Arabidopsis thaliana: one gene and its partner. The gene in region 1 interacts genetically with each later gene. Each region holds a gene or a part of one and is shown on either strand. Other genes may lie near its edges.

Region 1 (7,721 bases):
TAATTAAGATCAGGATATTTATAGTTACAGAGTATGATCGAGTAACAAGCGACGATTTATATGAGGTTTTTAGGCATGCCGGCTTTAGACTATAGTCGATGAAGCAAGGACTTTAAGGTCGACGCCAAAATATTTTTTATATTTTGAACTTTTGAGAACCCTAGTTAGGCCTAAGCTTCACTTTGCTTGGCACACAGCCGGTTATATTGGTGGATCAATGTATGGATATTTTGTATGTTTGGAGTGATGGCTTTATCGAACTCTCTGAACACAACTCTGCTAACCATACATCCACACGTCGTGTGATAATTAGATCTTATATAATAGTCCAAAAATGACTTCCAACTCATATATTTATATAAATAGTCTTCTTTTGTGGTTATATGTTTGGTTATTTCTATTTATAGTTTAATTCAATACCAATATTACAACTAAATCAGTTTAATTTTTCTTTGATTTGGTCTTTGAATTCACTTTCATGGTCAGTTTCATTGTTTAAGATAAACTTGAATGGATTAAACCGAATTAGGCATTCACTTTTGATCAGTCTCTTCTGCCATAATCTTCATAAGACAAACCCAAATTTGTAAAAACTTTTTTGAAAAAGAAACCGTAAGTAAAAGTAAAAGCGTTTAGGATCCAAGTATGGATTAGCTTCGTAATTTGAATTAGGTTTAGCTATACGAATTCGTTTACTTTTGTACCATATTTAGTTGTATTGTTTTCAATAATAGTTTTAAACATTCGAATAATCCGTTCCCAACTTTTTATCCACTATTATTCGTCTCAGTTTCTAGGATAGATATGTCCACACAAAAAAGCTCTTGATTTTTTTTTTTTTTTTTACAAATTCCAAATTTCTTTGCTCATAACCCAATCATTAGGTTATGACCACCATTGACTCACTCATAAGTCATAAGTCATAGGCTCATAACCAATCCAACAAGTTGTTAAGATTGACAACAACGATTCACTAAGATTCCAACCAAGTCCATGAAATAAATGATTTACAATACTCATTTCTCATGTACGTCTCTTTGAAGGTTTCTTGCATGACAGGAAATCAAAGGTTAGCACACTAATTACTCTTTTTTTCACACACATTCACAGTTTCACACATATGGTGCAGTATTTTGACTCCTATCGTACTAGACTAAAACATTTGGAATGATCAAAAACGAAAGACTCGTTGGGCAACTAGCCTAATAATCACTCTACTACACTAGCTCCCATATCAGTGGAAAATAATAATTCTAAAACGAATCATTTAACTTCTGCATATGTAAACGAAAACGTGTAAATTTATGAGATTACGTAAAAATTAGCAAAATAATATATTATTGATCAAAATTATAAACGTGGATTACATAACATGTTATTTGTTTAAATCATAATTTGATGATAAATTTATAAATAAAGTTCTAATTATTTTATATCTAAAGCAAAATTAAGATTATTTTATAATTTCTATTAATTATAAAATTAGTTAGTTCATATAATTTTAAATAGTTACGTAAACGAGAAAAAATACGAAATTTTAAAGAGAAAAAGATAACAGAAAAGACGATGATGACGATGACGATAACAACGACAATATTATTAACTTTTTAAATCATCTTTCCCATAGTCTAGGAGATTTTGTAGAAAAGAATCATTATTTTTAAAATAAAATTCCGTAAAACTTTTCCCGCCAACCAAACGAACTTTCGCCCTACATAAACAAACGGTTATGAAAAATAGTGAAACACACAACAACACATGTTATATCCTCTTCTTTATACGTTAGGCCAAAAAAGCTTTTTCTATATTACTCTTTAACTTCATCGATTCCAAGAGAAGAAACGAAGCATCAGTGATCTTATCCTCTCATAGCTACCACCGAACTAACTCTCTCCATCACCACCATAACCATTGATTCTACTGGTAATGAATTTTGTTTTTTTCTTACTTTTTTTTACATTTTGTTGTGAATCTAAAAAGTCTCTCTTTCACCTAACGAACGGATTAATCGTTCATGTCGCCACTCACCCAAAATCAATGACTTCCGGAGATCTCTCTTTCTCTAAAACCCCAGAAAAAAGTGGATCTGATCATTTTATAAAATCGTGATTTTTAAAAAAAATTGGTGATCTCTTTTATTGAAGAAATTATTGAACTTTTTGCAGTGGAAAAAATAGAAAGTTCCAAGCTTTTTCTCAAATGGTTCTGATTTAAGTAAGAGTGAAGAAAAGTAAAAATAGAGTCAGAAATGGAGAAACAGAGGAGAGAAGAAAGCAGCTTTCAACAACCTCCATGGATTCCTCAGACACCCATGAAGCCATTTTCACCGATCTGCCCATACACGGTGGAGGATCAATATCATAGCAGTCAATTGGAGGAAAGGTTTGTGCTTTTTTGTTCTAAAGTTGAGAAATTTCAAAGAGTAGTGATGGGTAATTGGTTAAGTAAGGTATTGATGCATGCAGGAGATTTGTTGGGAACAAGGATATGAGTGGTCTTGATCACTTGTCTTTTGGGGATTTGCTTGCTCTAGCTAACACTGCATCCCTCATATTCTCTGGTCAGACTCCAATACCTACAAGTAAGAGGGGATTTTGATTCTGGTCTCATGAGAAATGAAATCGCTTTGTCAAATTTTGATTCTGTTTGAGTTGGACTGAGAAAGATGTGATTCTCAATGTAGGAAACACAGAGGTTATGCAAAAAGGTACTGAAGAAGTGGAGAGTTTGAGCTCAGTGAGTAACAATGTTGCTGAACAGATCCTCAAGACTCCTGAAAAACCTAAGAGGAAGAAGCATCGGCCAAAGGTTCGTAGAGAAGCTAAACCCAAGAGGGAGCCTAAACCACGAGCTCCGAGGAAGTCTGTTGTCACCGATGGTCAAGAAAGCAAAACACCAAAGAGGAAATATGTGCGGAAGAAGGTTGAAGTCAGTAAGGATCAAGACGCTACTCCGGTTGAATCATCAGCAGCTGTTGAAACTTCAACTCGTCCTAAGAGGCTCTGTAGACGAGTCTTGGATTTTGAAGCCGAAAATGGAGAAAACCAGACCAACGGTGACATTAGAGAAGCAGGTGAGATGGAATCAGCTCTTCAAGAGAAGCAGTTAGATTCTGGGAATCAAGAGTTAAAAGATTGCCTTCTTTCGGCTCCTAGCACGCCCAAGAGAAAGCGCAGCCAAGGTAAAAGAAAGGGAGTTCAACCAAAGAAAAATGGCAGTAATCTAGAAGAAGTCGATATTTCGATGGCGCAAGCTGCAAAGAGAAGACAAGGACCAACTTGTTGCGACATGAATCTATCAGGGATTCAGTATGATGAGCAATGTGACTACCAGAAAATGCATTGGTTGTATTCCCCAAACTTGCAACAGGGAGGGATGAGATATGATGCCATTTGCAGCAAAGTATTCTCTGGACAACAGCACAATTATGTTTCTGCCTTTCACGCTACGTGCTACAGTTCCACATCTCAGCTCAGTGCTAATAGAGTCCTAACCGTTGAAGAAAGACGAGAAGGTATCTTTCAAGGAAGGCAAGAGTCTGAGCTAAATGTTCTCTCGGATAAGATAGACACGCCGATCAAGAAGAAAACAACAGGCCATGCTCGATTCCGGAATTTGTCTTCAATGAATAAACTTGTGGAAGTTCCTGAGCATTTAACCTCAGGATATTGTAGCAAGCCACAGCAAAATAATAAGATTCTTGTTGATACGCGGGTGACTGTGAGCAAAAAGAAGCCAACCAAGTCTGAGAAATCACAAACCAAACAGAAAAATCTTCTTCCGAATCTTTGCCGTTTTCCACCTTCATTTACTGGTAATGAATAGATACAGAACTATATTTCTTTGTTTTTTTGAATCTGTTAAATGCAGACTATTTCTTGATAATGATGATGTTTGATTCCTGCAGGTCTTTCTCCAGATGAACTTTGGAAACGACGTAACTCGATCGAAACAATCAGTGAGCTATTGCGTCTATTAGACATCAACAGGGAGCATTCTGAAACTGCTCTCGTTCCTTACACAATGAATAGCCAGATTGTACTCTTTGGTGGTGGCGCTGGAGCAATTGTGCCTGTAACTCCTGTTAAAAAACCACGCCCACGACCAAAGGTTGATCTAGACGATGAGACAGACAGAGTGTGGAAACTGCTATTGGAGAATATTAATAGCGAAGGTGTTGACGGATCAGACGAGCAGAAGGCGAAATGGTGGGAGGAAGAACGTAATGTGTTTCGAGGACGAGCTGACTCATTTATTGCAAGGATGCACCTTGTACAAGGTTATACACCACACTTGTCCTTTTATGTGTTTCTGTTCTAACCACATGGTTTCAATTAGTATGTCTCAGCTACTGCTTCTTGTTATGGTCTTTGGTTTCTAACAGGGGATCGACGTTTTACGCCTTGGAAGGGATCCGTCGTGGATTCTGTTGTTGGAGTATTTCTCACTCAAAATGTTTCAGACCATCTCTCAAGGTACAAGCTCTTACATAATTCTATGTCAAACTAAATCCAAGACAGCAAAAAGTCACAAAACTAACTTGCTTTGATGTTTTTTACTCCTTGTAGTTCGGCTTTCATGTCGTTGGCTTCCCAGTTCCCTGTCCCTTTTGTACCGAGCAGTAACTTTGACGCTGGAACAAGCTCGATGCCTTCTATTCAAATAACGTACTTGGACTCAGAGGAAACGATGTCAAGCCCACCCGATCACAATCACAGTTCTGTTACTTTGAAAAATACACAGCCTGATGAGGAGAAGGATTATGTACCTAGCAATGAAACCTCCAGAAGCAGTAGTGAGATTGCCATCTCAGCCCATGAATCAGTTGACAAAACCACGGATTCAAAGGAGTATGTTGATTCAGATCGAAAAGGCTCAAGTGTAGAGGTTGATAAGACGGATGAGAAGTGTCGTGTCCTGAACCTGTTTCCATCTGAAGATTCTGCACTTACATGTCAACATTCGATGGTGTCTGATGCTCCTCAAAATACAGAGAGAGCAGGATCAAGCTCAGAGATCGACTTAGAAGGAGAGTATCGTACTTCCTTTATGAAGCTCCTACAGGGGGTACAAGTCTCTCTAGAAGATTCCAATCAAGTATCACCAAATATGTCTCCGGGTGATTGTAGCTCAGAAATTAAGGGTTTCCAGTCAATGAAAGAGCCCACAAAATCCTCTGTTGATAGTAGTGAACCTGGTTGTTGCTCTCAGCAAGATGGGGATGTTTTGAGTTGTCAGAAACCTACCTTAAAAGAAAAAGGGAAAAAGGTTTTGAAGGAGGAAAAAAAAGCGTTTGACTGGGATTGTTTAAGAAGAGAAGCCCAAGCTAGAGCAGGAATTAGAGAAAAAACAAGAAGTACAATGGACACCGTGGATTGGAAGGCAATACGAGCAGCAGATGTTAAGGAAGTTGCTGAAACAATCAAGAGTCGCGGGATGAACCATAAACTTGCAGAACGTATACAGGTAAAAATTTAGTGGCTAAATTTCGTGATAACATTCATTTTAAGTATTTGACTCTGAACATGAAAATCATGCAGGGCTTCCTTGATCGACTGGTAAATGACCATGGAAGTATCGATCTTGAATGGTTGAGAGATGTTCCACCAGATAAAGCAAAGTAAGTTTGAAAGACGAAGCATTTTATTTCTTCTTTATTAACCTATACAAAGATTACTACTTTGGCAGTTTTAGTGACTTAATAATGAATTATGTACTCTCGTATATTACAAAACCCTGCAGAGAATATCTTCTGAGCTTTAACGGATTGGGACTGAAAAGTGTGGAGTGTGTGCGGCTTCTAACACTTCACCATCTTGCCTTTCCAGTAAGCAAGGATCAAACTTTTGTTTCTGTCCCTATAAAAAGTGAATTATATGATGCATGAACTTAATTTATTGACAGGTTGATACAAATGTTGGGCGCATAGCCGTCAGACTTGGATGGGTGCCCCTTCAGCCGCTCCCAGAGTCACTTCAGTTGCATCTTCTGGAAATGTAAGCACTTTTCAAAATGGTCCTACTTGGAAATTGTAATTTGTTACTTAATACATCTGAGGTTTGGTTTGTCTAGGTATCCTATGCTTGAATCTATTCAAAAGTATCTTTGGCCCCGTCTCTGCAAACTCGACCAAAAAACATTGTAAGAATGATGTTTATCACTAACTTTTTTTTTTTCATGCCTCAGTCTAATACACTTATTCATTAGTTTAATACCCTATTATCTCACAGGTATGAGTTGCACTACCAGATGATTACTTTTGGAAAGGTATGTATTAAAGAAATACATATATACGTATGTCAAAATCAGCTCACATGATGAGGTTTGTAATCTGCTTGATTATTGTATCAGGTCTTTTGCACAAAGAGCAAACCTAATTGCAATGCATGTCCGATGAAAGGAGAATGCAGACATTTTGCCAGTGCGTTTGCAAGGTGCTACAACATGTTCTCTTAAACCTTTAGTACCACTATGACTCTATGAGGAAAGTCCTTGTTAAAATATAACCCAGTTAAATGAGAATTGGTCTGTATCTAAACGAAGCTCTGAATCATCATTACAGAAAATTTAGTAACATTCATTTGTTTTACAGTGCAAGGCTTGCTTTACCAAGTACAGAGAAAGGTATGGGGACACCTGATAAAAACCCTTTGCCTCTACACCTGCCAGAGCCATTCCAGAGAGAGCAAGGGTCTGAAGTAGTACAGCACTCAGAACCAGCAAAAAAGGTCACATGTTGTGAACCAATCATCGAAGAGCCTGCTTCACCGGAGCCAGAAACCGCAGAAGTATCAATAGCTGACATAGAGGAGGCGTTTTTTGAGGATCCAGAAGAAATTCCTACCATCAGGCTAAACATGGATGCATTTACCAGTAACTTGAAGAAGATAATGGAACACAACAAGGAACTTCAAGACGGAAACATGTCCAGCGCTTTAGTTGCACTTACTGCTGAAACTGCTTCTCTTCCAATGCCTAAGCTCAAGAATATCAGCCAGTTAAGGACAGAACACCGAGTGTAAGAATCCATTTTTCTCTGTTTTTCTTCGTTCTTAGGTTAAAAATGAAATCAGAAACACATTTTTCAAAATTATTAAAGCTTGAACAGAGTAGAATATTTAAGTGATTGACCAAGCATGAACTCGTAAGTTGGAAAGCAGACAAACTTCCCAATAATTACAGGCTATGCCATAACTTGTTTCTTTTCCCGTATCTTGCAGTTACGAACTTCCAGACGAGCATCCTCTTCTAGCTCAGGTATGTGAGCTAACTGGATAAGGACACATGCCGTATAGAGTGCTGTCTATATTGTAAAATCTGACTAGCTGTTTGTGATTTCTTGTGGCAGTTGGAAAAGAGAGAACCTGATGATCCATGTTCTTATTTGCTTGCTATATGGACGCCAGGTAATTTAATGATTTGCATATCTTTTAATCATGAAATCAAATCGGTATCTTTAATCGATGTGTTATTCAACAGGTGAGACGGCTGATTCTATTCAACCGTCTGTTAGTACGTGCATATTCCAAGCAAATGGTATGCTTTGTGACGAGGAGACTTGTTTCTCCTGCAACAGCATCAAGGAGACTAGATCTCAAATTGTGAGAGGGACAATTTTGGTAAGTAGTTGCATCAATCTCCTTATGCGGCTTACTACACTTATGTTTTCTACAGATTAATATGTTGTAAATTGTACAGATTCCTTGTAGAACAGCGATGAG
Region 2 (8,003 bases), on another chromosome or scaffold:
TATTTTTCACTGCAACTTGCGCAAAATTTTCATTGTTTACACATGCAGAACGAAGATCGGTCATCTCTCCAGGCCCAGTTTGTTCGTAGGTGTTAAAAAGATGACGGGTTATTAGAAAATCCAGTACAGAATCGCCAAGAAACTCTAATCTCTGTTTGAGGAAAAAAATGATAGCATGAGGTTGGAAACCTGGGAATAAGTCAGCCAAATAATGCAGGGGTTGAAAATGATGAAGTCATACCTCGTATGAATAGGATTCACGAAGAGAGGAGTGTGTGATAGCCTCTTTTAAAAGAAACTTTGCAGAGAATTCATGTTGGATCTTTCTCTCCAACTCTATGAGCTCATCTTCTTTAGGAATGTAACACCGTAGAGAAACTCTATTGATGGCTTCAACGACTAGGTTTGGGTCAAAATCGACGTCAATACCGAGCCATTTCATCATATGGAGAGAAGCAGACAATCCACCGCTTACATAATAGGCACCAATCAGGGCCTCAGCGCAATCTGATACAGATTTTGAAACTACCCATCTATGACCCATGTCGCAAGACTTGCCTATTTTGATAGTCATGTTTTCTGTGAAGAATTTTGGGTCCAATGGTACTTCTCTAGTATCAATCCCACACTTGCAAGGAACAGGAAAAAGAGAAAATTGACCAGGTGCAGTCCAGCGACGCGGTTCAAAAGCGCCATTTCTTATGTATCCCTATCAAACCAATCCCCATGGAAAGATATTTCTTTGGTGTTCTGACTGATGTAAGACATTACTTGCAAATGTTAGAAGATACCTGTAGTTTGCGACTGGTTGTCAAGCGGTGAAGATTTGAGTTAGATATAATCGATTGTCTCTGCCGTGATAGTTGCCCCTCATCTTTGTCAGGATACTTAAGGAATAGATGACAGCTCGCAACATACTTCAAGACTGAATCCCCGAGCAGTTCCAACCGCTCCATTGAAAATGATTCGGGGCATGTAAGTGTTGTAACTGCTTCAAGAATCTGATTTATTGAACCAAGACAAGAGTTTAATGACAATCAAGATATCTAGTTTCATCTCTAAATGACAGATAGTTTTCAAAAACCATACCGATGTACTTGATATACTGAAGTTATCTATGCTACAATCAATCTCTTCCCTAAGCTGGCTGGCCAACATTAGAGACTCTAGGCGGTGCATCACTGAAGGCAGCAAGTAGATTGATTTTAGCACAGCACGCGGTACATCAATTCTAGCCAAAAGCTCTGGAGGCAAATGCGCATGGATATTCGGTTTTCTTTTCCTAACATTGCCAGCTTTTGGTTCTGTCTTCACAACCACTGTCCATTTACATTGGAAACAACATCTTAGAGCTCACACACTACAATATCATGAGAACATACACAATGATTCCATATGTTGGAGAAATTCTCAAGAATCAACTTACTCTCTTCATTGAAGTCGACTAAAAGGTTGTGCGCATGGTGACTCTGCTTCAACTTCATCAACGGCTGGTTCGGGTGCGCTAAAACAATCCCATACCTGATTAAAAGGGAATAACATTAACTAGAGAGTTATGATAAGTAGATTGAAAGAACAGCCAAAGCTAGAATATCACTTACTTTTTGTTAAAATATTCTGCATAAGTAGCATAGCCTGATGAGGCATCCACCTCAAAGGGGCTCATAGCAGAAGAATCGCTTACGGCTTCAACTATAGAGTATATCCGTCCAGTATGAATTGCAATGACCACAAGTTCTTCGAGACTATTTTTATCAGACGAAGCATTGGCAAAATGAATCAGATTCGTTTCTTCCATTTTATCGTCTAGTAAGACTTCCTGACCGGATGAGGTATTGCACTGATTCCCATCACTATCCCGAAGATCAAGAAGAGAATTTTTCTTCAAGAACTCAACTATTGAGGCACAGGAGTTGATAGCTGACCAATCAATTGTCGCACTCGAAGCTAGATCATTTGTTTCAACTGGTAGCAGTAGAAACATAAAGGCAGGGTGCCAAAGAGAACTAGTGTCAGTTTGAAGCAAAAATTCTCTCTTTGTTCCCTGTGACTTAGATCCAACAAACAACTTTCCAAACATGCCATTAAAGAAAAACTGCTGAAAATATTTTGCTTTGACCAGCTGCATCCAAAACACAAAGAAGAAGACATCAAGTTCAAACCATGAAACAAGAAACTGTTTATAACTAGGGATCAGAGTTATGTACCTCCTCTTGACTCAAACGTATCTGGCCACAAGGTGAGACAGAAGCCTTGACAAGCTTCCTGACCAAGTAAAGGTCCATCTCAACTTTACCAACATCCTCGGCGAGAGTTGACTCAAGCAAAAGAGAGAAACTCGAGTATACTTCGCCAGAAATATTACAACAGAAGTCAAACTTATAAGCCTGAAAGGTGGCGCCATCAATATTTTCTCCCCAGGTTCCTGACAATGCGTTTGCACAGGTTGTTCCGTGCAACTCCTTACGTTTTTTTGAACCTGTTCAGCGAAAAGAAAAAGAAATGTATACATAAATAAACAAATTAAGACAAGCTCCATGACCTTAGACATAGACATATGATATGCAACTGCTGATGTGTGCGTGTATGTGTGTGATACAACAGCGGCTGATAGAGGAACTAAAGACTAAAATCAGCGACACCAGCTAATTGACGAATTAATAAATTAGAAAACATACCTGCAGCCGATGAAGATGATTTACTTTTAGAAGAGGCAACCTTCTCTTTGCCGTTGGATTGTAAGAGATTGTTATCCAAGCGTAACTTTTTACACGGTGGTAACTGCTCATTTCTGCTAGGAGGATCACTCATAGTTTGTGTGGAAGCTGCTTCCTCAGATACAGTTATGTTAGAATCTGGGATAACCATGGATCCAATCTCCTTCACACCGTGTCCATTTTTCACTGGAGGTGGACACGATTTCAAGTTTGGAGCTTCTGGATCTTGAATTAGGACTTCTCTTCGCATAAGGTCATGCAGATGGTCTCTTTGCTTCGGGTTCCCTCTACAATAATTAGTATTCAGAAATAAGCTACAAAAACTGGAATTTGGTAAACATTTTGTGTTAAATAAATATTGCTTCCTACCTTTCAAGAAACATGATAGACTTAGAATTACTCTGTTTGGCATGTTTTTGAGACTGCGAGTAACTACACATTGTTTTGGGCAGGTCAAAACAAACCATGCATGAGCAATCTGGAACCTGAAATCCCTCTTCAACCACATCTGTGATGAATAAAAGATTCACCTACATGCATTAAAAAGCTTTCAGAGAAGACAAAATAAAAACATTTCTCAATCTATAAAACATCTGACTGTGATGAAGAACAGGTAACCTTGCCATGTTGAAATAAATCAGGGATTTCAATTTGCATTTTCTGTGCCGATACATTGGTGGAGGGGTTGTTTTCGGTTAAATACAAGACATTAAGGTAAGCCAAAGAGGCTTCTTTCTTAACGAATCTTTCGATCACTTTCGCAGTTATAATTCTCTCAACTAAAATAAGGCACTGCTTTTGCTTGTCACCTCTGCAAGCAAATTGAAATTGTCAGAACAGATGGAGATCTTGGTGCAATTTTGGGAGTTGGATAAACAATTTAAATTTACCTAAAGGAATCCAATAGATGGAAGAGTTCTTTTAGCTTTGGAGATACATGCCCAGAAATTACTGCTGACAGATGGTTTTGCTGCAAATCTACCAGACTCTTATCATCTGTTAAATAACACAAATGATAAACAGTGTAAAAATTAGTGACTAGAAGAGGACTCAATGCAATATAGAGCTTTGAATACATTACCTTGCGGCAAATACACCCCAATGGTGGATAAAATATCCTCAAGAAATTCCTTGCACACCATTGAGCATTCTTTATAAGTTTCACTTTCCTCTTTCGTATCTGAGATTTTCTCCAAGCAGACTTCAGCCGCCTATCGCGAAAGCAAGATGAAAAAAAAAAGAAAAATAATCAGCACAACAGGTATGCTAGCGGGAGAAAAAAGTAACAATGAGTAAGCAAATGAAGAACTGGTAATAAAAACTAAACTGGTAGAAAAATACCAAGTGTGCGCAAATCAGGCCAAGATTATCAAGGCAATGCAAAATCTCTCTGTAGTCGATAGACAATCTCTTTTGATATGTCTCAAACTTATTATCCATATTCAGAAAACTGTCTTTTCCCAACTCTTGAAGCCTTCTAAGAGAAGCATCAAACTGTACGAAAAAAAACAGAATATTTTTCAAGCACTCTGAAACATAATAGGAAAGAGTCATGTTCTGGATCATATTCAGTGAGCATATATTATATACCTTGAGGTGTGAAGTTTCTAACTTTTCTTTCAATTCCAAACTACAGGATGGTGATGGGTTATACAATATTGGACCTTCTTTAACCGTTGTAGCAAACTTTTCCACTCCTTCACGCTCTTCAGGATTAAAAATCTGAATTCAAAGTAAGATTGCATAGCATTAATTTGTAAACTATATCTGTTTCCTTGTTACACAAAAACAAAGTACCTTTGAGTCCATGAGTCTCTCAAGTTCTGATACTTGAGCTGCATAGTTAGAGGGAGAGGAAACACTTGTAGTATGAGTTTATGTTCCTTACATGAAGTTCAAACATTAAAAAGTAGTTACAGGAAGCAGGATCTTTGGTTTGGCATACAGAGGAAATAAGAAACTTTTAAATAGCATGCCTTTTCTAATGACGGCTGACGCAGTCAATCCAAATATCTTCGGTTTGCTAGTGGATTCGTGATAGAATTCCTTCATGAAAACAAGAAAGAATCTAGTTCGTTGACAAGTTATGGAAACTCTATTATGAAAAAACTAATAGAGCTTATCATTACTGAGAAAACACACCTTCATTAACTTCGCATAGGGATGATTGCCAGTGGTATGGTGGCATTCATCTATTATTAGAAGACATACCATCTCTAGTTTCAGGAATGCACTTCTAAGGACATCCAATAATATTTGAGGAGTCATAACTAAAACCTGAACCATACAAAACATAATTTCATTGCAGATAATAGACTCACGTGGATTCGGCAACAAAAGAGAAGTATGTGATTCTGTTAGTGAGATCAATGCAGTCACAAATCTACGTCAAGGGCTCAAGCAAACAAGTTCAAACAAAATAATTAAGAAATAATCAGCATTGGAAGAAGAACCAACCCCAAAAGTAACAAATTGGAATGGGCTTTTAACTAACTCAGAGAACATTCATGACTCAAAATACAACAATGAGCTGGTCAAAGTGGATTACAACATTCTGCCAAAGTTTCACTAACCACACAAAGAAATTTTGATATAAAATCACCAAAACTACAAGCAAGTCACTTTGTTGGCGTATAACTAGCCAAATATACACAAAAAGAAACAGAAACTTACATCGTGCTTGCTAAATTCCTCATCCCAGCGCTGAGATGTCCATTTATCAACTCCTTTAGCTCCAAAGTACTCTTCAACTTTCAAATTCACAAGTGCTCTGATCTCACAGCATTGCTAAAACCACACACACCAATAAAACATTCAAAAATAAGCTCCCAAGGCGACTCATTAGCCAACATCATCAACTCAAAATGATTAAAATCCAAATGAAACAGTTTTTCTTTTTACAATCAAACAAGAGACTTGCCTGTTTAACAAGATTCACAGTTGGGGCCAAGAAAATTATCAATCTTTTGTCTGTATCAGAAGAACCCATAGCTTTGATAAGCCTCTTAGTGATCTCTGACTTATCAATCCCTGTCCCCAAAACAGCAATTATGTTCCTGTTCTTAGCAACCTCGTACACTTTCAATTCATAACTACTGCCAAAAAAAAAGTAAACTTTAGTGAAAAAGACTAAAAACCCATAAGACCCAAAATCAAGTACAAAGAGAGGAAGATGATGATACCCATTAGAGTCAGTCATCATAGGAGAAGAGACAGAATCAAGATTTTGATCTCCATCGATTTCAGAGAATTTTCTCTTAAGCGAATTGCTTCCCCCACCTTCCTCCATTTTCTCCGGCTCCAACGACGAATGCATGACGAACGGATAAAAAGGAACACACTTAACGGGAAGAGTAGAGGAATTTCGAATTTCGACTTTGAGATTAAAACAAAAAGGTGATTCTTTTTCTCTTTTTCTGCACTGACCACTGGGCAAGTGTATAAATGAGGTCAGAACATGAGTTTCGAATGTTGAATTTTTAACTAGAAAAAAAAACTGCAACAAAATTAGTCAAACTATATTAATTTTTGGGTTACCTTTTTTCGATACTTTATTTTTGATTTTACTCTTTCTTCAAATATTTAGGCCTCTAAGGCCCAATGGACCTGACAAGATGCATAGATTCATTGGATATACTGCTGATTGATTACTTTTCTTCAATGTGCAAGCTGTTTCATGTTGTAAGTAACTTCGCTTTTTTTATTTATCCGGGTAATCTGGTAGAAATGTACTAAAATACTTTAGCGTGGACTTCTTCCCAAATAAACACCACAATGTATGTTCCGAGTTTGGAATGATTTTCGACTAAAAGAAAGCTAAAAATGTAGAAGAGGGGCTGACTTATGTTAATATCATCTAATTCTAATGTCTCTTTCAACCCGAGACAATTTACCTTGTTTTGTCAGAGATTATTTATAATTTGTTAGGTCATGAGGATTTCGGTCGGGTTAAATCATAACCAAACTACATTAACAACTCTCACCTTGAAAATTAGATAAATATAGAAATCGAAAAATGACCAAATTTTGAGAGATTTTGAATACGGAAAAAGAATAAACAAAATATTTTTTTCTAATTAGTGAAGAATTTTCTGAAAGCCAAAGGAGCAGAGAAAGAGATGCAATATATAAGTGAAATCACCAAAACATTACTCATTTTTACATGTTAGATATGTCACTTAATTTGAGAAAATGAGTAATATCTTGTATCACTTGTAGCATGACCATATGCAGCAATGAGTAGTGCATTAGCTCGAGCATTGTCGTCAATTTTCGTTGTCAATTTAAGTGATGGAAACATTTCCAGTGCGAGTTTCCTGCCACCATCCTACGAAGAGAAAAGCAAATATTTTTATTGCAATTGATGTGAGGATAGACATGAAATCATAAAAGTTTGAGAGTTAAGATTCATCACCAAACTCCAAATACTAAGATTAAAATGTTTGTCCCATGTAGAAGGAGTAACGTAAATAACAGAAATGCTAGATGTGAGAAGTGTCCATAATCCACATCCAAGTCCATCATTGTAGGCAGTCTAAGATATAAAGACACAATCATGTTTCAGTGTATCGAATCCATATCATAAACGTACTGAAGTAAAAAAAAAAAGAGATGAGTAATTTTTACAATAGCGTTTTCAGGATGAATATATTTCGCTACAAATGCCTTGGTTCCTACAACAGTGAAGAGACCAAATTGATTTTAAACATAACGCAAAGAACACGCCACAACAAAAACACAGTGAAATATCGTTCTTACCGGATGGAACATCTAGACTACGAATCAGTTCTAGCATTGATTTTTCGTTGAAACTACGTGTTCGGATGTTTTGAACTACAACTTCCAACTGAGGAGTATCATATACCTTCACACAGATTTAACACACAAAACTTAATCCATATCAAAATGACTAAAGTGAATTTTCCACTGTATTCACCAAGAGAACAGTTTACAAAGCATGTCTTATTTAACTTAAGGGATAGATAACAAAACTCACTAACTCAATAGTTACAAACAGGTTAATTAGTTGTAAATCTTCTATCATCCAATATTAATTTCATTCATATAATTCCTATAGATAACAATCGAACCTTGTATATATAAATTATGATAAACCAAGTCCATCTGCCTGAGATTACCCAATGAAATATCGAACCTTGTATATATAATTTATGACTAACCAAGTGCATGTCCTGAGATTACCCAATGGAATATCTTAATTTACTTCACAAACCCTAGAATCTTGTAGTTTCACAGTTCTAGGGTTTCAGAAGAAAAACAATATTC

What was found.
Region 2: of DML1 (region 1) and DCL3, changing one suppresses a phenotype caused by changing the other (phenotypic suppression), as found in Arabidopsis thaliana (one study listed by BioGRID).

Annotation. Positions count from the first base shown.
Region 1 is NC_003071.7:15,308,800-15,316,520, reverse strand, and holds the start of DML1 (demeter-like 1), read left to right. Parts: upstream 1-1,713; 5' UTR 1,714-1,923; intron 1,924-2,165; 5' UTR 2,166-2,248; coding exon 2,249-2,382; intron 2,383-2,465; coding exon 2,466-2,581; intron 2,582-2,683; coding exon 2,684-3,814; intron 3,815-3,907; coding exon 3,908-4,279; intron 4,280-4,384; coding exon 4,385-4,475; intron 4,476-4,568; coding exon 4,569-5,466; intron 5,467-5,540; coding exon 5,541-5,620; intron 5,621-5,742; coding exon 5,743-5,827; intron 5,828-5,904; coding exon 5,905-5,996; intron 5,997-6,072; coding exon 6,073-6,141; intron 6,142-6,230; coding exon 6,231-6,267; intron 6,268-6,351; coding exon 6,352-6,434; intron 6,435-6,592; coding exon 6,593-7,018; intron 7,019-7,220; coding exon 7,221-7,257; intron 7,258-7,348; coding exon 7,349-7,406; intron 7,407-7,479; coding exon 7,480-7,619; intron 7,620-7,698; coding exon 7,699-7,721. UniProt on the Arabidopsis thaliana protein: Bifunctional DNA glycosylase/lyase, which excises 5-methylcytosine (5-meC) and 5-hydroxymethylcytosine (5-hmeC), leaving an apyrimidinic (AP) site that is subsequently incised by the lyase activity.
Region 2 is NC_003074.8:15,751,578-15,759,580, reverse strand, and holds the start of DCL3 (dicer-like 3), read right to left. Parts: upstream 6,034-8,003; coding exon 5,900-6,033; intron 5,813-5,899; coding exon 5,638-5,812; intron 5,505-5,637; coding exon 5,391-5,504; intron 4,995-5,390; coding exon 4,860-4,994; intron 4,764-4,859; coding exon 4,690-4,763; exon of another isoform or gene 4,579-4,689; coding exon 4,515-4,578; intron 4,440-4,514; coding exon 4,308-4,439; intron 4,212-4,307; coding exon 4,059-4,211; intron 3,929-4,058; coding exon 3,799-3,928; intron 3,714-3,798; coding exon 3,608-3,713; intron 3,529-3,607; coding exon 3,336-3,528; intron 3,248-3,335; coding exon 3,087-3,247; intron 3,005-3,086; coding exon 2,679-3,004; intron 2,480-2,678; coding exon 2,208-2,479; intron 2,123-2,207; coding exon 1,602-2,122; intron 1,522-1,601; coding exon 1,427-1,521; intron 1,320-1,426; coding exon 1,090-1,319; intron 1,002-1,089; coding exon 792-1,001; intron 710-791; coding exon 242-709; intron 152-241; coding exon 1-151. Other genes in the region: AT3G43910 (MutS2), read right to left, coding at 6,892-7,044, 7,132-7,251, 7,344-7,390, 7,476-7,581. UniProt on the Arabidopsis thaliana protein: Ribonuclease (RNase) III involved in RNA-mediated post-transcriptional gene silencing (PTGS).